Linked DNA regions of Lepisosteus oculatus. Each later gene encodes a partner of the first gene's protein in a complex. Links are inferred from orthologs where the notes say so. Each region holds a gene or a part of one and is shown on either strand. Other genes may lie near its edges. The genes, in order: bcl2l1, bcl2-associated agonist of cell death-like and tpt1.

Region 1 (7,516 bases):
GCATTAAAAACAACTTGGCAACCAGAGTCTGTTTTTTTTCAAGCTCCAATATGGGGGCTCATTATAAGCTACAGGGTTGGTGTAGGGATCACACTAATTAAAGAATGAAAACAATCTGATGTCTGTTACTGTCTGACAGCGTTCATTAATTGTCCAGGACATGGCAGGAGAGTGTCTGACTGCTCTACACCACATCCTATCACAGCGCCACTGCTCATCTTCTCTGTGGCACCAAAACCCTTCAGAAATTAAACTGACAGGAATTCAATGAACTGCCCTGCAGGGAGAGATGACCACTGACATGGACAGACAGACAGGCAGACAGGCAGGGGTTTCTCAAGTGACCCCCGCAAAGACCAACTCAAAAGACCATATTGAGGCACAAATCAAGACGTACCCCCCACACCATCACCACCACCACACTCAGGGGCAGGCTGGGGAGGAGGGGTCAGAGGTCAGTGATGAACTCTCCAGTTACCTGACTCCTTGATTCCCCGATGCCAGCAAAGAGCTGCCAATGCCCCTGTCCAGAGCTGCTCAAGATGCTCAGATAAAGTACAAGTATTTCTGCTGCCTTGAACCACAGGGAACTGAGACATCACAAATTAAACCCCCAGCCAGGGAAACCTCTACAAACTAGGGTGTCTTCTTTCCCATTTCTAGTGTCTACTGTTTCTGTACACACGGACACGCAAAAATAAACATATTCACAGGCTGAACAATGTGAATAACACCAACATATGATATAATCACGCAGTTTGCCATTACCTAGTAATCTTACACACATAACATTCCCTCCATAACAAACAACACAGCCATTTATGTTTCTAAACAGGAATAAACGTTTTTCCGACGCATATAAATGTTCCTCGGTGTGACAAACACACATTAAGACTGAAATGATGATCAAAGCTGTTATTATTCTCCATGGCGCCTGACCTCATCCAGGTTATCAGAGGCGGCTAGCGAAAGGCCGGAGTATCTAAAACCTAACCTTTCCTATGTTAATCCTGGCATTTGGACTGGTATTTTACCGGCTACGATAACGACAACTTCCTCCACGACAGCTCATTTAAAAGCCCGATGTGAAGGGCCACGGCTCCCGAGACAGATTTACATAGAAATGCGCTATCACGGCCAGACGATCTTTGCCGGATTCCCCGGCCACATACAGTAGGTGTGACTGTGATTTGTGCGGTACCGTCTGCAGATAAATGAGACAAAAGACAGGCTCGACATTTCAGACAGGAGAAGGCTGACATTTAGGGATCCTAGGGTTCGCCTACCGGTCTCCCCTGCGAGCTGCTCTTCCTACCGGAGCGAAACACCGACAAGCAGCCTACCCCACCACACACACACACAATCGGAAGCAATCGCTAACTATTTTATTTACTCAAACACGCCCTGAAAAGGATCAACACCAGTGTCGGGGCTCACAGCGCACGCCGCAGCCAGACAAGAACGCCGTTTGCTTTCTGAAAACCTGCTGGAGAGCACTTTTTTTGGGGGCTCATCGGGAAAAATAAAAATCCAAGCAGAAAATAAAACCAGCACGCATCTCGCAATCCACTGCCGAACTACGGATGCTCCTCGGCGTCGGCGTTTCAATGCCTCGCAAATGGAGCAAGCGAAACATTCTCCATCAAGCCCAGCCCAAGGCTACGACGGACCTGAAAAGGTTCGGGGTGACACTCACCTCGGCAAATGAAAGTCCTGCTCGGTAGCAGCCCTGCGTTGTTTGCCTTGGTGGCAATACCGCTGGCTCGTCCCTATCCAGTCAATTGAGCTGGGCTTCCTGAGTCACTGCACGCTGTCAAACCCTGCAGCACAGGAGCAAAGCAGAACCTATTAGCCAATGCACGGCGCACACGGCCCCGCCCCCTCGCCGATGAAAGGGGGCGGGGGCAATTACGTCCTTCCTACCGTAATTGCACAGTTAGAGGCGCGCACCCGCACGCATGAGGCACAATTACGTCAATAAAACTATACATCTTTGTAAATCGATACGACACATTGCTCAAAGCAAAAAAAAACCGCGACGGTTACGAGTGCATATGAACTGTACATAACATAGTACATAGTTTAGTTTTCCAACAATTAAACGACTGCACTGGCCTATTTTTAAGGCGGACCAACCCAGGTGAGTAATCCATTTTAGGAGACAGTGCACCAATCACACACCACTAACCACTGTAACCCACATTAAAGTGGTTAATGACTACCCGCAACGAATTAAAATCGGCCCTCCACGGTGAGCCGGAAAAAAAAAGTCCCATTCCCCGTTACTCTGTTGTTTTAAGATTCTCAATTTACCTTTGCAGAGTCAACATGATTATAAACCCGTGTGCAGAAGAGGCAGGGAGCCCATTTCTAATTAACCGTCAGCACCAACGTAGTCCAGCCACACACAAACCACCTCTGATTGAAGAAGACCACAATTTAGCACTCGCACATAGCACTACCTACCCCATTCGTTTGAGTACCCTTCATAAATCATGGTCGCTTAACACTAATCAATAATACGGACTAGGATCCGACATTTTACTCATTTCCACAACCCCACTCGAGATCCAGAGGCCAGCCCGAGCCTCTTTGCGCACTACAATTTTCCTTCTGCAGGATATTCCGCCTTTGGGATGTAAAATGACACTTTTTAGACCAACCCTGCTCGAGTAACGACGGGACGTCATGCTTTTTTTACCTCGGTCTTGTGCACACTGGCTTGCAATTTGTAATGCACGTTTTCGGGAAAAAAAAAAAAGAAATCCCGCATTTACACAACGTTATCCTTCTTATGTCGCAGCAGTGTTTTCGTTAGCTAATCAAGGCAGGTCCCTTAACCAACCCCTGCAAAGCACAGTAAGCGTGTTCAATATGGTTACAGTCACGACGTCTGAAATAATGTATTTAAATCTGACCTGATTAAAGAACAGGAAGAGGTTGTAACGCCCTCGTCCGGACTGGTTTTCATCTTTAAACCAACACGGGGTGAAAAACGATGAAACGCTTTAAAATATCTCTATGGTAACGTTTGTTTCCTCTAGTGACGAACCACGCTTCTCCCACTCCCCCGTTTTGTTAAAGACACAGCGCCTCACCGTGGCCGCTGGGGGGAGGTACCACTGCAGGCAGTGAATACTGCCACTTCGCCCCAAAATAGATAGATACTTTATTGATCCCGTGAGGGAAATTGCAGTGCAACAGCAGCTTAACACACACACAACACAGCCACAGTGTAACGAATTATATAATAATAGTACAATACATACAATACAATACAAGAGTTACTCACAGTCCGGACACACAAAGAACAGACTAGAACAGAACAGTACACAGAAAAATCGTATCACACATATGAATATAAATATAGATGTAAATATAGATATAGATATAAATCTAGATATAAATACGTCCCTCTAATCCGTACAGATCCTGAAAATAACCATAGTCACAAGTCACGATATTTCAGATACGTCCTAAGTGATGGGTGACGAATCTTGATAAAAACAGTAGCGAATTAACACTTGTGTTCGGTTTTTTTCATCCTATAGTTAACTTTTATCTATCTGCTGAACTCTAAAACTGTACAAAGGTTAAAGTAGCGTGCGATGTAACCACATGTTTATAAAATCGGGTTCGTATTCAGCATAACACAATATAAGACAGGATGTCCTACAATGCAAAACAATACGAGATGACGAAAATACACCCGGGTCGTCCTTGATTGTTTTCACATTAAATGTGTCTGTTACACCAGAGATCTTTTCATAAAGCACCAGAGAACAGCACGAATTCCTTTCCTGTATTTGGTGAATTTGCATTAAACTAGCAAGCCAGCCGAGCAAGATTTACCGAATAGCCTCCTCTTGTGCCTCGTTTAAACTGTCTGCTTGGAATCTCTGATTCTCATGCTCTGACATGTTCTCTGAAACGGCTTTCTTCTTGGCTTTTAAGAGCGAGGGGCAATACATACGATTGCTGGACAGACACAATCTCTTCTGAGCTGTCCGATCTTAAAACGGTCAGGGGGTACGTGTATATATATGTGTGTGTGTGTGTGCAGTTGAGTATGTATTTGACATGACCGCATGAGAACATTTACAAACGAGAAGAGCCTATTGGATATTTAATAGCACACTGATCCAAGCATGCCATCGTCTTGAGGCTTCAACAATATGGCTGGGTAGCCCGTTCCACGATCTTACGAACCGCTGTGTTTTAAGTAGTTCCCCCTGCTCTCAGTTTTAAATGCACTTTCACCATAGCGTACACTTTTGTCCCCTGAATCGGGTTTTTTAAATGTTCATTCTGAAGTAGTTCGCTGGGTTGACTTTTTCATTTACAGCCTTTAGGATTCCTAATCCGTGCGTCAGGTTCGCCCTTAGTATGTGCTCTGTTCAAGACAGAAAGGAGGGCGGGACTCTCAGCCCCTCAGTGAAGGATATTATTTTAATCCTCGCAATATACTGTATAACACTATTGGTGAAGAACTGCACTAGATTCGACTTCCCAATTTTGTTCCCTTCTATATATTTTCCCTGAAATTCGAAGAAGGCTGCACGTTGCGTGTTTTCTTCTACTTTCCACTGTGGAATGAACAATCTGCTTGTTCTTTTCTAAAATGTAAATCGAGCATATGAATCTAGAGGTTTTGAAGCCGACACTCCACAGTTCTGCTCTTATCTTGCTCGCCCATCAATACAATTTCGTATAACTCGTTAGAAAGGGTTGGACAAGCTTTTCTCAAGTATCGACAAACTGGCCTACATGTCTTATATAGCTGATTTATGTAGATTTTAGATCCCCCCTTAATTCCACATCCTGCACGTTTGACCCAAACCCTTCCACGAAATGGTTATCAACACATCATCTTGACGCTCCCTAAATTTTTACGTCGGTAGTACGTGGCATGAAAAGACTACATTTCCCATGAGCGCTCAAGCCTACCCGAACGATTTCGGCCTCATCACCAATAGAAATGCGCCGAGGCTGCGAGTCGCCTGCTGATTGGCCAGTTTGGAAAGGGACGGATTTCAAATGATAACGGCGCTAGGGGCGGTGTTAGCAGACAGACATTTTCTGCAGAGCAAGTAAAGTAAGGACGGGGGAGAGTTATAACTTTTCTTTAAATACAGTGGATTTCTTACTCATCAGGGAAGAAACTTTGGAACAGGTATGTAATCGTGCATTTAAAATACACGTCTTTTATGTGAGTTGACGTACCTTGCTGGTTTTGTGGCTGAAATGAGTAGTTAGGGCTACTTTGTTGTTTGGCCTAGACGCCGAGCTGTGTCGGACCCGACCAGTATTGTTTGGGTTTTTTTTTTTGCTGGGGGTGTCGGGTGGATTGTTTCTATACAGTTATGTAATCTCTTGGGGGTGGAAAAATACTGCTGAAGTATTGAAAAAGAAAGGATTCTGCGTAGGAATAGGTTCACCTTAACGACAGCATCTCGATTTGCTTCAGTCAGCGTCGTCGTCTAAGGCGGACATCGCCTTTTTTCATATGCTATACCCAAGTAAATAGGATAGGACATAAATAACGCTTCATGCAGGTATATGTGTTTTTTTTTTCCTGCCCGTGATCGCTTCAAACTAGACCCCCCTCTTTCTGATCGGACTCTTAAGCGTGTAGGAGGAATCTTTAGCTCAAACATGGGTTGTTAGGTAAGCCCGGATGGGCTTCCACCTTGATTTTTTTTTTAAAAAAAGAAGTCACCCCAAAAATTCAGTCAGGTGAAAGGAGAGAGCAAAACGTACTTGGTGTGGTCTGGGCGTCGGGAGGCGGTTCGGTCAAAACTTTGAAATTGCGCGTCTCCAATCCGCTGGCAGTGAGTCTGTCCCTCCACCGGAAGAAGGACTTTTCCCATCTGCAAAGTGAGCACCCCCCCCCCTTAAATATTTATAAATACATACTATAATATTCCAGGGATACGACTGGATAGTGTATACCGCTGTAGGGATAAAAATCAGTCGGGAAAAGAAGGCAGGTGCTGCACTCGGGATGTAAGGTTTTATCGATTTTAAAACTTTTTCCCCCCCAGTAGGGACAGAGGAGCTCGGCACGGCGGAGAGATGGACATGCAGCAGGAGGTGTCGATGGCCGATTATGAGTTTGACGCGCCTTCGGTCGTGATTGATTTCAAGTCCCTGGACAGGGAGGACAATGCAGATCACTGGTTCGGTAAGACCGTCTCGGGCTTTTCGCGTTTTTTACACCCTCCTCTTTCTTTGTAAGCTGGTTATATCTGGGCTTGCCTGCCTTTTGTTGTCTGAAACATCTGTTATTGCTTTCAGACCAGATAGCTGAGCCAGAGTCCAAGACGATGGATTTGCATACCACTCCGTTTAAGGCTAAGGGAGAAGCAAAGACCGATGTGCCCAAAGCCTTTGTTTTACCCATGGTGCACGATGCCAATCGCGGGACAGGCAAGCATGTTTATTTGTCACTACCATAACATCCTTAAGTGAAAGCAAGGTCGTTTTCCTCTTGGTTAAAGCAACTTCAGGGCAAGCTATTCCAGCTTTCTGGGTGATGTCCCCTTTCAGAGTGCGGCGCCGAAGGAGAGAAACCGTCTGCTCCTGCTGTTTCTTCAAACTTGGTGACCTCCTGGAGCCACTGGCCATCTACAGACAACCAGCCTCAGAGAAAGGCTCTTCCAGCACAGCCCAGGAGGTAGGAGGAGCCTCTGTCAGACAGTCTTACATGCTGGAATTAAAAATGGGATGGGGGGAGAAATGCACAGTCTTGTCCTGTTCTGTTGGACTGTGCTTTCCGGTTTTGGAAATTGCTGATCTGAGTGCCACTTCGTTCACCCGTGGCATGGATCTCCCCAAGAGCTGGTGAATTTTTACTTGGCGGATAGCTTCTCAGAGTTCCACATGGTGTGAAATTACAGATCACTGTGCACTGTCCACCAAGGGCGGGGGGAAAAAAAACCCTCTGAATTCAGGAAAACACTTTTTAACTTTCTTGTTGGCGTTGACTGCTCTGTCCCTCACCCGTTTAGAGTTTCTAAAAGATTGTCCGGCCATCAGAAGATGGAAAACCAGCGGAAGCAAATGGCCAAAATTCGTGAGGAAAAGAGGAGGAGTGCAGCAGCCACTGTTCCTCATGCAGGAGACCCTCCTGTTAAAAAACTAAGAAAAAGGTAATCTCAAAGGAACTCGACGATGCCTGGATTTTCTTTTTTTGTTGTTGATCTGTGCCGTACAGCATGTAGCAGTAATTGAACTTTGAGTTCTAGCAAACAATGTTTTCATGTATAAAATCTCATTACTGACAACAGGTATTAATATAATGTTATGAAACTGGTAAAAATCAGCAATTGACCGAGCAGTTTAGTGAGTAAGTGAAATTATTATTCATAACCCCCAACTTGTACGTGATTTCTAATGATATTCCCAAGTGGCTGGCATAACCAGAGGCACGTGAATGCTGTATTCTCTATCACAGCTTTGTTGAGAGGAGTAATTCGGCCCACCTGGTTGATCATCCTTGCTTTATGCTTTTTGC
Region 2 (7,141 bases), on another chromosome or scaffold:
ACCCCTCTCCTGAATCGCCTGTTCCTAAAGGGAACCCCTGGGAGATTTAACCGCTGAAGGTAAACGAGTGATTTGTGCAATTCAAGGGACGCTGGAGTCTGGGGCCTGGAAGGTGTTAAAGGGGAGCTGAGGTCCCCATTTCAAACAAAAAAAAAATCAAATTTCGAATTGTGCACAAAATCGGGAACTTTGCGAAAGTACTGCGAGTCAGCATGTTGTTGCAGATTCGCATCAGGTTCCCACAAATTGTGACGTGAAGCGGCCCTTCCTGCTCACTAGTCACTGTGATGACTGATGTACAGAGCTGTGAACCAGCCATTCCTGCTCACTAGTCACTGTGATGACTAATGTACAGAGCTGTGAACCAGCCCTTCCTGCTCACTAGTCACTGTGATGACTAATGTACAGAGCTGTGAACCAGCCCTTCCTGCTCACTAGTCACTGTGGTGACCAATGGACTGAGATGTGAGCCTGCCCTTTCTGCTTACTAGTCCCTGTGATGACTAATGTACTGTGATGTAGGAGTAAGTACAGGTTGTACAGCAGACTTTTCACCAGTAGAAATGCTCCAGCGTGATCTGATGGCAGAGTTAACAAGGGCAGAATTTCTACTGGATGAGAAGAGCTGGACTCACAAGCCTGCTTGTACACAGTGTCACAGGGCTGGAAGTATCGCTGCCTCGTTCTGAATCCCAGAACATGGCGCTGCGCAGACCTGGAAATGTCCCGTGTTTTGTGATGTCATTTGGAAGTTACCGTGTGTGCGCGTTTTACTGTCATCGCGGTCTGAAACGCACTCAATGATGCCGATTCTTTCTAGCCGCGAAATACAAAAATAGCGCTGCAGTTCCCCTTGAGGATTTTCATTCCCAGCGCTGTCCACCTTGTCCCACTGAAGAGTCACATCACCGCGAGAGCGGTACTGTCACTGGCGCGCCCCGGTGACCCCGGAATTTGGGGAGCACTGCTCTCACGCAGCCAGCCGGCGGGGGGGTCGTCCGCAACTCACCGGGAGGCCGGATCCCCGGGCTGCTGTGGGCGTGGCCCAGCGCGGGCCCGAGCCCCGCCTCCTGGCGGGGCCCTCTCCCCGCCGCGGTCTCCGATTGGGCGGGCTCGGCGACGTCATCCGAGAGGCCCGAATCGTCCGAGAGGCTGAACACGGGCGTCATGGCGACATCTGCAGAGGCGAGAGAGGGCACGCAGGTGAGTGCGGGGGGCTCTTCGGCCTTTCCGTTTCTACAGTGCACCACAGGAGCGTAAAAACACGGCCATTTTACGTCATTCAATTAAAGTGGACCCTGGGATCATATTTGAATGGTGTTTTAAGTCAGTTCCCCGACTATAGTCACAGGTGTTGATGTGCACTATAGTCACTGATACACAGGTCTTGTTTTGCACTATAGTTACTGATACACAGGTCTTGTTTTGCACTATTGTTACTGATACACAGGTCTTGTTTTGCACTATAGTCACTGATACACAGGTCTTGTTTTGCACTATAGTCACTGATACACAGGTCTTGTTTTGCACTATAGTCACTGATACACAGGTCTTGTTTTGCACTATAGTCACTGATACACAGGTCTTGTTTTGCACTATAGTCACTGATACACAGGTCTTGTTTTGCACTATAGTCACTGATACACAGGTCTTGTTTTGCACTATAGTCACTGATACACAGGTCTTGATGTGCACTATAGTCACTGATACACACACAGGTATTAATGTGCATTATAGTCACCGATACACACACAGGTATTAATGTGCATTATAGTCACCGATACACACACACAGGTATCGATGTGCACTATAGTCACTGACACACACACAGGTGTTGATGTGCACTATAGTCACCGATACACTCACAGGTATTGATGTGCACTATAGTTACTGATACACAGATCTTGTTTTGCACTATAGTTACTGATACACAGGTCTTGTTTTGCACTATAGTTACTGATACACAGGTCTTGATGTGCACTATAGTCACCAATACACACACAGGTGTTGATGTGCACTATAGTCACTGACACACACACTGGTCTTGATGTGCACTATAGTCACTGACACACACACTGGTCTTGATGTGCACTATAGTCACTGATACACACACAGCTATTAATGTGCACTATAGTCCTATAATCACCGATACACACACACATCTTGATGTGCACTATAGTCACCGATACACATACAGGTGTTGATGTGCACTATAGTCACTGACACACACACTGGTCTTGATGTGCACAATAGTCACTGATACACACACAGCTATTAATGTGCACTATAGTCCTATAATCACCGATACACACACACATCTTGATGTGCACTATAGTCACCGATACACACACATCTTGATGTGCACTATAGTCACCGATACACACACATCTTGATGTGCACTATAGTCACCGATACACACACACAGGTGTTGATGTGCACTATAGTCACCGACACACACACGCACGGTTACCGACAGTCAGGCACTGCCACGCACACGGTGTCACGCTGTACAACCGCACAGTGAGAACGGTGACATACGGGGCTCAGACCCACACGCTCGTGCCCTGGACGTTCGGCCCGCCGCCTCGAGACTTCCGGGTAGAAAGGAAGTTTTCCCGGAGAGGAGCTGGGAAAGACGGGCGCCCCGGAGCGAGCAGAGCCCAGCCCGGTCGCTGCAGGGTCTCGCCCTCAGACCCCAGCCACCCCCCTGGGGTGTGATGGGGGGGAGTTTGTACCCCCAGAAGGCGCCCGCTTCGGTTCTCTTTGGCTTTGCTACCTAACAGCTTCCCGGTCTGGAAAGCAACCTTCTGGCTGGGAACCTGGAGACACGCAGCTGAACTTTCGTTTGCTTTTTCAAAAAAAGCACTAAAAAAAAGCCTGCAATCCTCATCATGGGCGCCTGCACTCCCGAATTCAGTCACGACGCAGAACTGTTCTCCTTACCCGGACCGGCTGCGGCTGCTTGCTGGGCGATCGTTGTTTGGGCTCTCCGGCGTCAACAGAAGTAGGTCGGGTCCGGCTGCTCCCCAGCCCTTCCGCGAAGGCGCAGGTTTCGCTTCGCCCAGCCAATCCGCTCGCCCGCCCCCGGCCCCCGCCAATCGCCGCGCCGCGCCGCCCTGACGTCACTGTTGCGGGTCGAGGCCGGGGCCGCGTGCCTTGTTTACCAGCGCCGAGGGGCCGTAGTGGCGCGTGGCGCCGCGCACCCCGAAATCCAGCCCGGCCCCCCGGCCTTTGCACGAGCAACACCCGGTGCTCGGATATTTGACACACAAGGTCTGCAGCCCGAGCTGCGCCCTTCCTGACGATTTTCTGCTCCTAGGTGTTGTTGCGGACCAAATATTGCATCACTTGGTGCGCGTCAATCGCAGTTTCCCACCCGCTGGTGGATCTAGAAAACCGGTGGCTCTGCAGAGATTGCTCTCGGAGGGCTTTAGGACAGTGTCCAGCCTGTACTTCGCTCCCAGCCCTCGTATTGTCCTGTTTCCAAATATCTTGTCATGAAAACCTGTCATCGCAGCGTATTGGGTTGAGCTCTGTTTTGATTTGACTCTCGTCCTATATACTGTATGATGTATGCTGTATGATAGATAGATACGTGATTGATCCCGGGAGGGAACAGCAGCTTAACGCAGACCTCACAGCCACAGTGTAACGAATGATACAATAATAATAACACAATACAGTCAGTACAGTGAGAAGTGCACCAAGGAGAGTTACTCACAGTCCAGAATACACAAGGAACAAACCAGAACAGAACAGTACACATAAAAATCGTATTGTAGAATATGACTATAAATATAGATGTAAATATAGATAAAAATATCAATGTATTACACGGGTTCCTGGCATATATTGCACAAAAAACGGTTGTAACGGGAAAGAAAAAAGAACAGATGTATCAGTTTGCTGCTCAGTCCAGAAACAGGTCACTGTCGATGTTGCCTCTGCCCAGACACACAGTGGAGGCGTTGTACAGTCTGATGGCAGAAGGCAACAATGACCTCCGGTAGCGCCCCCTGTCGCACCGCGGATGGATCAGTCTCTTGCTGAACGTGCTCTAATTAGGGTGTTGTAATCAGGGCGGTGCAGTGGTGAGCGCTGGGGCCCTGGGTTCAATTCTGCTGTCTGGGTGGAGTCTGCATGTTCTCCCCGCGTTCACATGGCTCCAGGTGCTCTGGTCTCCTCCCACAGTCCACAGACATGCTGGGGGGGGTGGATTGGCTGCTGGGAAAACTGGCCCTGGTGTGAGTGTGTGTGTGTCCTGTAATGGACTGGTGTCCTGTCCGGGGTGTACCCTGCCTTGTGCCTGTTGCTTGCTGGGATAGGGTCCGGCTCTCCTGTGTTCAGAAAGCGAATAGTGTTGTAATTCTGCACAGTGTGCACAGGCTTCATGAGTGTTTATACCTGGAAATTTATTCTCATGTGGAAATGTTTTCTAACAAACCCCACAGCAGCTGGGCAGCCTTTGTGGTTCCTGAACACAGACATCCAGGGCCTCTGTCAGATCAGCTCAGACATTCCCTCAGAACAGTGCGACTCTGTTTTCACCATGGGGTACAACTACAGGACCAGTTAGAGCAGGGCTGTCCAGTCCTGGTCCAGGAGGGGTCAGTGTGTCTGCAACAGGGCTGTCCAGTCCTGGTCCTGGAGGGGTCAGTGTGTCTGCAGCAGGGGTGTCCAGTCCTGGTCCAGGAGGGGTCAGTGTGTCTAGAGCAGGGCTGTCCAGTCCTGGTCCAGGAGGGGTCAGTGTGTCTAGAGCAGGGCTGTCCAGTTCTAGTCCTGGAGGGGTCAGTGTGTCTGTAGCAGGGGTGTCCAGCCCCGGTCCTGGAGGGTCAGTGGGTCTAGAGCAGGGCTGTCCAGAGTCCAGTCCTGGGGGGTCAGCGTGTCCAGAGCAGGGCTGTCCACTGTCCAGTCCTGGGAACAGGAGGGGTCAGTGTGTCTGCAGCAGGGGTGTCCAGTCCTGGTCCAGGAGGGGTCAGTGTGTCTGCAGCAGGGCTGTCCAGTCCTAGTCCTGGAGGGTCAGTGTGTCTAGATCAGGGCTGTCCAGTCCTAGTCCTGGAGGGTCAGTGTGTCTAGAGCAGGGCTGTCCAGTCCTGGTCCAGGAGGGGTCAGTGTGTCTGCAGCAGGGCTGTCCAGTCCTAGTCCTGGAGGGTCAGTGTGTCTAGATCAGGGCTGTCCAGTCCTAGTCCTGGAGGGTCAGTGTGTCTAGAGCAGGGCTGTCCAGTCCTGGTCCAGGAGGGGGTCAGTGTGTCTGCAGCAGGGGTGTCCAGCCCCGGTCCTGGAAGGTCAGTGGGTCTAGAGCAGGGCTGTCCAGAGTCTAGTCCTGGAGGGTCAGCGTGTCCAGAGCAGGGCTGTCCAGCGTCCAGTCCTGGGAACAGGATTTGCTTGTTTATGCGAAGCTGATGGCCTCCTCTTGTACAGAGACTTAGTGCTCTATATTTAATGTTTTTCTTTTTAATTGAATTTCCCCTCATGACCACAAGATGTCGCTGTCAGATGGGGGAATCTCTCTTTCTCCCGGATTCAGATACTCAGCAGATATCCCAGCGCTGGCCTGCGATACCAAATCACAGCTCGGAGGAATAGCTGCCCTCCTCTCTTTAATGAGCGCACTGGCCCAGTTAGAGCATTTATTTCCATTAGAAGTTCTTAAGTAGTCAATACATTAAAGAGACGTTCAATCACATAAATGCACGTTTGTTTTTAAAGTCGGAGGGGTGCACGTTTTAAATCTTTCATTTGATATATGTGCTTTATGGACTCTTGGCGCTTGCTCAAGAGATCAGTCAAGTGCCTGACACTTTAATCACTGCTCCGACAGGCGCACAGTCCCTCACCAACACAACCTGTTCTGGAAAACACAGGGCTCTACAGCTGTACGGTAGGGTTCCTGTATGTTAGGGGCTCCAGGTCCAGTGCGATCCCAACCAGGTTTAACAACATGCAGGGTTCCTGTCTGGCAGAGTTCCAGCTCCAGTTTGATCCACTCCGGGTTTTACCAGCTGCAGGGGGCTCCTGTACGTAAAAGAGGCTCCAGCTCCAGTCCACTCCAGGCCAGGTTTTATCAGCTCCAGGGTTTTCTGTATAACAGGGGCCCTGATCCAGCTGGCTCTATATGTCATCATTAAGTCATCAGTTTTCCAAAACTTGCATCAGTCTCTTCCTGCTCGGAGAGGCCGGCGATTGGTCAAATTAAGTCGTTTCACCCCCTGGCCTCCACGACCGGCGTTCTCTCAATTGAACAATTGACTTTGATGAGCAGCTCGATGAAGCCCAGGTTTCCCCCAGCCCTGGACAGTGGTGACCTGTGGGGCCGACTGCAGCCGGGCCCTGTGGGACCAGGGCCAGAGAGCTCCACAACAGAGGTGCTGCCTCCGTCCGGCCGGGTCTGTTCGGGTCAGCACCAGAACCCCGAACCCCCCCCCCCACAGACTCTTGCGGAGGTGCGTCTCCTGTTTTTTAGTCCAAAATACACCCACCCCTGTGTCCATCCAGCTTCGAAGCCTTCCCTCCAGCCGCCAGCCCGATTCCCATTGCGGAGCGGTCGGATCCGCTCCGGGTCGTGGCGGTGGCCCGTGTGTGTGAGTGTTTCCTCCGGGTCCTCCAGGTGCTCCGGTTTCCTCCCACAGTCCAGAGACATGCTTGGGAGGTGAATGGGCTTCTGGGAAAACTGGCCCCGGTGTGTGTGTGCCCCGTGATGGACGGGCGTCCTGCCCAGGGTGAGTGAGTGTGTCAGCGTGTGTCCTGTGATGGACTGGCGTCCCGTCCAGGGTGTACCCTGCCTTGTGCCCGCTGCTTGCTGGGATAGACTCCAGCTCCCCGGTTCATGGCTTCAATGAAGATAAGTTAGCAGCCATATCACCCTGCAGCTCACAACTGGCAACCCACTGGAGCTCAGCAGGTGTGAGCTTGGTCAGTACCTGGAGGGGAGACTCCTGGGAAAGCTGAGGCTGCTGCTGGAAGAGGTGTGAGTGGGGCCAGCAGGGGGCGCTCACCCTGCGGTCTGTGTGGGTCCTAATGCCCAGTATAGTGACGGGGACACTAGACTGTAAACAGGCGCCGTCCTTCGGATGAGATGTAAAACCGAGGTCCTGACTTTCTGTGGTCATTAACAATCCCAGGGTGCTTCTCGAAAAGAGTA
Region 3 (7,636 bases), on another chromosome or scaffold:
CTTCTCAATTGGTTTAGAAAGCTCTTGGCTACATTGTGCTCCAGTGGGTAAGGTCCTATCTGGAAGAGCAGTTGATTCCATTGGGTGCCTTCAAGTAAGCTCGGTCGATTCCAGCTGTTTATAAACTAGTATTCATAGGTTATCCTCAAGCCAGATCACCAATTCTTAAGGAATCAGTTTTTAATGTTGACAACATCCAACTACTCTTCCAGGCTAAATCTAATACTGCATTTGCCATGCCTACCGTTTAACGATTGGTTAGATATTAATTATGGAAGCGTCAGCATTTACATTAAACAGTAGCATGGGATTGTATTACTACTCCTCCACATTGTCTGCATAAATAATGTACATGAAGTTTAGTGAACAAAGCATCTATAAATTCAAGATTAGTCTTAAGGCAGAGGTTTTTTCAAAAATACCAGTAATAATTTTTATTATGAAAACCAGTCTATCTGATGTGGTCTATGCGATACAGCATCTAGAAAATTAATGAGAACACTGCAGCGTGACATTACAGACATTCAGTCTGTCAATAGCTCAAGTCTGAGTCAGCTAAAAGTACTATTCCTGTATTTGCTTCCCAGCACTGGTTAGCTGATTAGGATTAAGACAATAACCAAAATGGGTTTAAATGATCTGGCTCCAGCACATATCAAGGACTTTTTTACTGCAAGTCTCCATTTCATCATCTGAAATCTAGGGATTCAGGTGTTTATGTATTTAAGACAAAACATTGTCCTGTTCTGCCTTCTGCTTGGATCTGGAAATGTGCAATTCTTTAACCATATCTGGGAGCATCTAAATGACCTTTGAAAAATCTTTTCAGTTCTCAGGTTTCAACATAAGGTAGGTTAACAGCGGTCTCCAAATATATTCAATTTACCTTCTATTTACAGTACTTCAGGATAATACCATCTGGTCTTCCAGCCTCAACCACAATCTTTGGAAGTTATTGAATTTAACACATTAACGGTACTTTTATATATGTTCTCCAGCTGTCCATTTTACTCCAATACCACAACACCATGACAACTTGAAAATCTATACTTCCACTGTCTTCTAAAAACAGTCCAAATACCCCTCACAGCACCTGAAATCTTTTACTACATCAGAATTTCAGTATAACATATAAAGTTATACAAACAGCTACTTCCCAAAACACGAAACTACATTATGATCTTAAAGGGTTCTTCTGTTCAAAGCCAGATGAATGCAAACGCTTTGTGAATGGACAGTTAAAATGTCTGGCTTTTCCCCCCAATAAGGGACAAAAATAATTCTTATCAAAAGGGGAAAAAAAGCGTGTCTTCCTCTCTTCAATCTGAGCAGCTACGGACAAAGATGCACAGAAAGCGCGAGGAAATTGCTCTTGCATCGACACAAAAAACCCTTCAAGCCACTTTCCCAAGGCTTTGGGCCTGTCAAGCGATGCAGCCAGCCGAAGGCGGCGATCCGGTCCCCCGCGCTCACTCACGTCTTCATGTAGTCTTTGATGTATGACTTGTACGTGTCCTTGGTGAAGCCCGTCTCCTGCAGCTTGTGGTTCAAGACGATGTCCACGCCGCTGACGGTGCTGGCTTCTGTGCCTTCATCCTGGAGTTCAGCTGACGCATTGCCGCCGATGAGAGAGTCGTCAATGTCCTCTGACCTGCTGACCACCTAAAACAAAGAACAAAAGCCGGGGGGTCTACAGGAGCCACTCAAACTCTATGCAGACGCCCATCTCACGCGGGGCTCTCAAAGGCCACAGCTTCAACCTAGGCTGCTCACTTGGCATGCCGGCCTCCCTCCTCTCTCTTAAATTTCACTCTCTCCCACTGACCTCAGCAGCTACAGAACAGAGTTGGAATCCTTTCAGTCATACAAGCTCTTCATTGAAAGGAAAAAGTGAAAGGATGACTAGTAGCTATAAATCCACATCTGGAGCATTCAGTTATTTCAGAATGGAAGCTGTGCTTCCATTTCCCATTACTTCACTATAACCTAGAAGCCTGAAACGATTTACTTTATTTTTTAACACCGCACTCTTTGTGTGTGTGTGGAAATCAAAGCATCTGCCGATTTCTAAAGCTCCCATTCAACCCGGAAACGTTCCCTCGTTCGTCACGATCACGTCAGAGAAGCGCCCCACTAAACACACTCGCAGTGAACAAGGCTGATTCACCCCCCACACCCAGCCCCACAGTTTCTGCACACCTCGGCCTCTTGCGAAAACCCCTTACCTTGCCTTCGACTTCGATTAAGATTCCGTTGGGCGACTCCATGATTTTGTAGATGTCAGAGAACATCTCATCTCCTGCAGGAAAGAAAATTGGTGACGTGAATCCGACTTCCAGCAGCCCTCACTGAACTTCCCGGCTCTAGAGCGGGATGCCACTGAGCTCCGCTATTTTCACACCCCGCCTGAATATTTCTAGAAGAGGTCCCGCCACATTCCGACAAACAAAAGCATCAATACTTCGGCCCCTCTTAAAGCGTAAAATGCGTCCCAACTGGGGGCAAAAGGTAATAAAAATTTCCTTCGCGTTTTGAATTACTTTACAACGAATAAGATACTAAAGCAACCGATTTCACTATTCGATTGAGTAATATTTCAGTCTGCCACGTACAAGTAAAATACTAATGGAATTTCATGAATAAAGCCTTTATAGGGGGGGTACAAACCGGCCCCCGAAGTTTACTTGTCGTTAATACCGCTTAGCTAAGAAATCGTATTAAATCACTTGCTTTTGTCTTTCTTTAGCGGGACTGGTTAAAAACCTATAACACGACAATATTTTCAAACGAAAAAGAACAAAACCATGGTCAATCAGCATCCTGCGAGTTCAGTATCAAGCCGGGGCCTACGCTACTAGGCCTCGTAAAACACGGGCATAAAAAAGTGAAATATTACGAATTAATTCTTTCCACGGTAAGAAATAGACACAAAATCTAAATCTTAAAAACTGCTTCTTCTGAATACATCGCTTTCTTACCGGTGATGATATCCTTGTAGATGATCATTCTGCTGGATTGTGTTTTAAGGGTTTGATTCAAATATGGCTCCTGCTCTCCCCACTAGCGGATCTGGCTGAAAAGGAGCGATATACTTTTTTTCCCAGCTTAGATACTGGCAGCATCGTTGACGTCATTGAGCCACAAGCTTTGAAACAAATTTGCCCCCTGGCGGTAATATAGAGGGGTTAAAATGTATCGCTTGTCTTCTACGGTCTTTGAAGTGCGAAGCGAAGAACCAACAAACTTTTTTTTTTAATCGGCAAAATAAGATCCAAGTCTGGAGCGGATTTCTGAAACCTGGTTTGCATAACCACATTTTTATTAGCATTACAATACTTTATGCAACATTTCGAGAAGTGCTCAAATCGAGCGATTCTCGTTCTTAATACTGACCACCTTAAATTAATCGGTCTGTAAAGCTCTAACACTATCATGCTATTACGGTAAAAATTGTGGATGATTTTTCGAAGTGGTGTTCCCACTCCGCCCATGAGCTCGGTGTCTCCTTTTTACTTCTAAATATCAAGCCCTTATGTATTGACCAAACCCATACAAAAATCGATCGTTAATAACGGTCTAGGTTAAATTAAAAGGGAAAGATGTTTGTTTTAGGTAATTACCTGTGACATTATGGCTTTCATTTTGCAGGTACCGTGCAAAGTACCGATATTCGGGTGACCTTTTGTGATAAATCAAATCAAATCAAAGTTTATTTATCAAACGCACAACAATACGGCGTGCAGCAGTAGATGCTGGCAATGAAATGTCTTTTTCTGCGAGCTCACATAAATCACAAAAATTCACAAAAACATAAAAATCACAAAATTGAGGTTACATTTTTAAAATTGAATAGAACTCAATGTGAGCAGAGCTGTTATGTGTCCATGGTGTATGCAATATATACATGTAGTCCAGTTATGCTGAATATAGTTAGAATAGTTATTGTGTAGCCTATAGTGTTAATCGCTGCCTATGTGTTATGCTCATTGTTTCGTTTCTTTTATGTGCATGATGCCTGACAAGCCCTAAATGGTATCATTTTTTATGTTTTCTTCTGTACAAAAACACAATCCTAATTAGGCACAGTGGTAAGCATTGCTTCCTCGCAGCCCTGGGTTCAGCTCCTGGGGTGCTGTCTATGAGGAGTTTGCATGTTCTCCTCTTGTTCATGTGGGTTTACTCCGATTTCCCCCCACAGTTCACAGACATACTGGTAAGTTAATTGTCTTCTGGGGAAACTAACATTGGTGTACGTGCGTGTTTGTACAGGGTGATATCTTGCCTTGCGTCTCTTGCTTGCCGGGATAAGGCTCCGGCTCCACCCTGTACTGGCTAAAGCAGTTAAGAGGACAGACGGTACTTTAAAAACGCAGACCTGCATAACCTGTTTGCTGCTTTGCGCGCATTTGGCAAATCCTACCACCTGAAGGCTTCACTTAACTATTTTGAAAAGTATGTACTTGTAAAGTATGTAAAAAAAAACAAATCTCTTGCCGTTTTCGCACCAAATAATATTGAAATAAACAATCGAACAGACTGACTAAAATTAAGGCCCATAAAATAGCATGGCTTGCCATGGTCTCCTGTACAGGAGTCAAGCGCAAACTCTCAGAGGCAGTTTTAAAGACAAAAGTGCTCCCGTGTTGTATGCATGTCAAACTTTTGTTTTTCTCAAGTACCGCTCTGATAATTGCAAAGCCTAGCCTACAGAACCCGATTCATACCCGTCACAAAATGGGTGAAACCGCGAGCAAGTCAGTGAGAATCGGTCAGACCCCGATTTTGTTTAACAAAATAAACTTTATTCCACAATGTATACCAATCGTACGATGAGTGCACACTCTAAAATATCATACAATCGTCTACTAAGTTATACACATTCTTAAAGGGATAATTGTCCACTTTCAGTCGTTTCACTGTTTCACTTGTTGTGGCATGATTTGCATAATAAGTCACTTGTCCATGTCTGTTTTCCCTGCTCTGGCTCTGAAACTACGGTCAAAACCAGATACACCGAGAGCCCGAAGGCTTCTGCTGCAGCTGTAGAGCACGTTTGAGGGGTTTGTTGTAGTCGACTTGATGACGTGTTTGCAGACAGTGGAGCCAGTGGAAATTACGGGGTACGTGTCTGAAAGTGTCTTACAATTACCTTAACTCAACTGACTCAGTCATTATTTAATTTATTTGTATATTTACGCTATTGTGCCTGCTTGATAGTGCCTTCTGCTGGTCCTTGAGTGTACATTTTCTTTGGAAATACTAAGCAACAGAGAAGCATTGTGTTGTTCGATGTTGGGCACCGCTCAGTAGAATAACTTTCGAGTGGAAACCCTCTGTGTCATCAGGATAACGAGGATCCTCACCACGCCAAACAACTACCTTGACTACATTGCCAGAAATCGGAAAGAAGAACAGTTTTTCATTAAGTTGGCCAGTTGTACGAGTGCCTTGGCCTTACATGAATTTGAAGTGTAGGGTGATGAGCTTGGCGGGCCCGCAGACGGCAATAATGTTCTCTGAGAGAGGTGACTAGGACGGGGTGGACAAAGCTGATGGCAGCATTGGTAAAGCGGTGTGACAGAAGGAGGAATCCGTGTATCCTTTGCCTGCAAACTGGAAAAGGGATGGCGTATTTTGTTGAAAAGGGGCTGTAACCGGCGTACAAAACAATACCGTGTTCCGTTTACTTTTCCTAAACAACGATCTGTAAACTACGGTTTATTATCATAAGTATAATATTAAAATTATAATAATTAAAACTCAAAAGGCAGCACCTTACTATGTGACATCGATTTACTTCGTTGTGAAAGGGAAGGGCTGTCGGTCTGAGCGGATGGGGGTGTGTGAGCAGAACTACTGGGCGGGTTTGTTGCAGAGGGTCTGGATGTCATTTGTGAGAACTTGACGGAAGAAGCGCGTATGATGCCACCGCACCACGAGTGAAATTAACTTGTCTCTTCCTTAATCCGATCCGTTAGCTCGAAAAGACCATAAGATGTGCTTGAAGGTGAACGCATGAAAACAATTAAGCCTTGCTTTTCACGCAGACTTAAGTAGAACCAAACCGCAGCAAGGGCTTTTAAGCGTTTCGAATAAACGACACGTGTATGGTTCATTATTTCTGCCATAACTCGTCAGTGCCTTTATTGAATTTTCGTATTTCTCGGAGTGAAGGAACGTGGACGGATCAGTCGATTTCGGCGAGAAACACGGTTTTTAAAGCAAGCTCCTGCATTGCAAGTAAGTAGCTTTTCTATATCCGCTGTTCTCCTATATTCTCTTGCTAAGTAGTTTTTATCCCGTATTACTGTTCTGCATTTGAGGTAGTTTTGTATCGCGTGCGTTGTTCAGCATCAAAACATTTACAGGAAGTGTTTATTTTTCAACTTCAACGAAAGACGGTATAAACAAGCTGTTTAATGAATGCAGCAATCGTGTTGAAATTTTGGGGGATATAAGTTCCAGGTATGATACAATCCTAAAAGTGCTACGCAGTTTCTCTGCTCAAAGACTCGTTTTTACTATTTATGTAAGTGTGATAATATGGAACTTTTTTTTTTTATTAGACCCTAAAAGGCATAGCCCACAATTCGTGGACGCTTTGGTATGGATGGAGCTAAAAACATATTGCTTTTTTGTGCATTAATTGAAATGCGAAGCTTAATTTCTTTTTATTCCATGTTAATATTTCCATTTTCAGAAAGCTTTTGTAAGAAACGGCAAATCCCCAACCCATAAAGGCGTAGGTATCAGTGCAATGCAAAACATGTTTTTTTTAAATTGTTAAGATAAAATTATTAATATGATTAGTTTAAGGTAATATGTATTATTTTAAGTGTCTGGAAACATCAAAAAGATTGAGCGGGAGGCTATTGTTTCTGCTTTTTTTCTAATACTTTTACATGTTAGGACTCAATGGTGTCGTTTTTAAATTGGACCACACAGAGGAAGTTGCCCAAATGTGACAACAGCCCAGTGTCTCCACGGTCAATATACAGTAGTATATAAAGATGAAGAGTGATGGCAGACATATATTTTGTCTGTATAATTAGGAAAGCAGCTGTGAATGTGTGATCCTTGCTGATAAATTTGGGTACAATTAAACTGCTGCTTAAATTTAGGGCACATTCCATTTACAGTAAGATCTGTGCAATCATTAAAGTTAACTGTGTGTTCAGAGAAACCCACATATGTATAATGTTCGGACTTCAAGGGCTTTAGCCTCACTTAGTTTCCAGTGGCCAGTGAAAGAAGAGAGTCTTGTCAGTGTCTACTAGGGATTACAGTGAAGACAAATAAAATCTCTTGTCCTCTGTTGGACTCTGGAGGGCACATTAATACTTATTTGTGGCAGAGGACACAGAAGGTCATGTAGTTTCCAAAATTCTGCATTGGCTTTTCATGTGCTTTCCTCTGTGCCGCCCATGATCTGATTTTTAAAGTAGTGGTTTATATCTGCTGTTTAGTGTTTCACATCTTTTCATGTTGTTGCTTTTGCACGCACTGCTTTTCTTCGTAATTCTTCGTAATGGCCGACTGGGGGAAGGGGGAACTTGAAAAGACTTGTTTGAAAGGTGAAGGAGAGTGAATGGTATGTGGTTGTACTGTAGCTCCACATTCGATAGGTACTTGTTTT

What was found.
Region 2: the proteins of bcl2l1 (region 1) and bcl2-associated agonist of cell death-like are in contact, whole or in part, in a crystal structure (PDB 2BZW), measured with the Mus musculus proteins. The link is inferred for Lepisosteus oculatus from reciprocal best matches to the Homo sapiens genes BCL2L1 and BAD. Residues at the interface, in NP_001276645.1 of Mus musculus: Ala93, Glu96, Phe97, Arg100, Tyr101, Arg103, Ala104, Phe105, Leu108, Gln111, Leu112, Gln121, Ser122, Gln125, Val126, Glu129, Leu130, Arg132, Asp133, Asn136, Trp137, Gly138, Arg139, Val141, Ala142, Phe146, Asp193, Leu194, Tyr195, Gly196; in NP_031548.1 of Mus musculus: Ala137, Leu141, Ala143, Ala144, Gln145, Tyr147, Gly148, Arg149, Leu151, Arg152, Met154, Ser155, Asp156, Glu157, Phe158, Glu159, Phe162, Lys163.
Region 3: the proteins of bcl2l1 (region 1) and tpt1 are in contact, whole or in part, in a crystal structure (PDB 4Z9V), measured with the Homo sapiens proteins. The link is inferred for Lepisosteus oculatus from reciprocal best matches to the Homo sapiens genes BCL2L1 and TPT1. Residues at the interface, in NP_001304848.1 of Homo sapiens: Ala93, Glu96, Phe97, Arg100, Tyr101, Ala104, Phe105, Leu108, Gln111, Ser122, Gln125, Val126, Glu129, Leu130, Asp133, Asn136, Gly138, Arg139, Val141, Ala142, Phe146, Leu194, Tyr195, Ala199, Ala200, Ser203; in NP_003286.1 of Homo sapiens: Phe14, Asp16, Ile17, Lys19, Ile20, Arg21, Ile23, Ala24, Asp25, Gly26, Leu27, Cys28, Leu29.

The regions. Positions count from the first base shown.
Region 1 is NC_090711.1:3,270,843-3,278,358, reverse strand, and holds the start of bcl2l1 (bcl-2-like protein 1), read right to left. Parts: upstream 3,053-7,516; 5' UTR 2,919-3,052; intron 2,840-2,918; exon of another isoform or gene 2,702-2,839; intron 2,623-2,701; exon of another isoform or gene 2,467-2,622; intron 2,461-2,466; exon of another isoform or gene 2,314-2,460; intron 1,821-2,313; 5' UTR 1,697-1,820; intron 1-1,696. Other genes in the region: tpx2 (targeting protein for Xklp2), read left to right, coding at 6,076-6,184, 6,298-6,429, 6,550-6,676, 7,011-7,151. UniProt on the Homo sapiens protein: Potent inhibitor of cell death. Inhibits activation of caspases. Appears to regulate cell death by blocking the voltage-dependent anion channel (VDAC) by binding to it and preventing the release of the caspase activator, CYC1, from the mitochondrial membrane.
Region 2 is NC_090713.1:21,769,151-21,776,291, forward strand, and holds the start of bcl2-associated agonist of cell death-like, read right to left. Parts: upstream 3,076-7,141; 5' UTR 2,944-3,075; intron 1,178-2,943; 5' UTR 1,170-1,177; coding exon 1,010-1,169; intron 1-1,009. UniProt on the Homo sapiens protein: Promotes cell death. Successfully competes for the binding to Bcl-X(L), Bcl-2 and Bcl-W, thereby affecting the level of heterodimerization of these proteins with BAX. Can reverse the death repressor activity of Bcl-X(L), but not that of Bcl-2.
Region 3 is NC_090710.1:16,166,309-16,173,944, reverse strand, and holds the start of tpt1 (translationally-controlled tumor protein homolog), read right to left. Parts: upstream 3,090-7,636; 5' UTR 3,007-3,089; coding exon 2,979-3,006; intron 2,509-2,978; exon of another isoform or gene 2,343-2,508; intron 2,300-2,342; coding exon 2,226-2,299; intron 1,663-2,225; coding exon 1,478-1,662; intron 1-1,477. Other genes in the region: kidney mitochondrial carrier protein 1, read left to right, coding at 5,080-5,120. UniProt on the Homo sapiens protein: Involved in calcium binding and microtubule stabilization. Acts as a negative regulator of TSC22D1-mediated apoptosis, via interaction with and destabilization of TSC22D1 protein.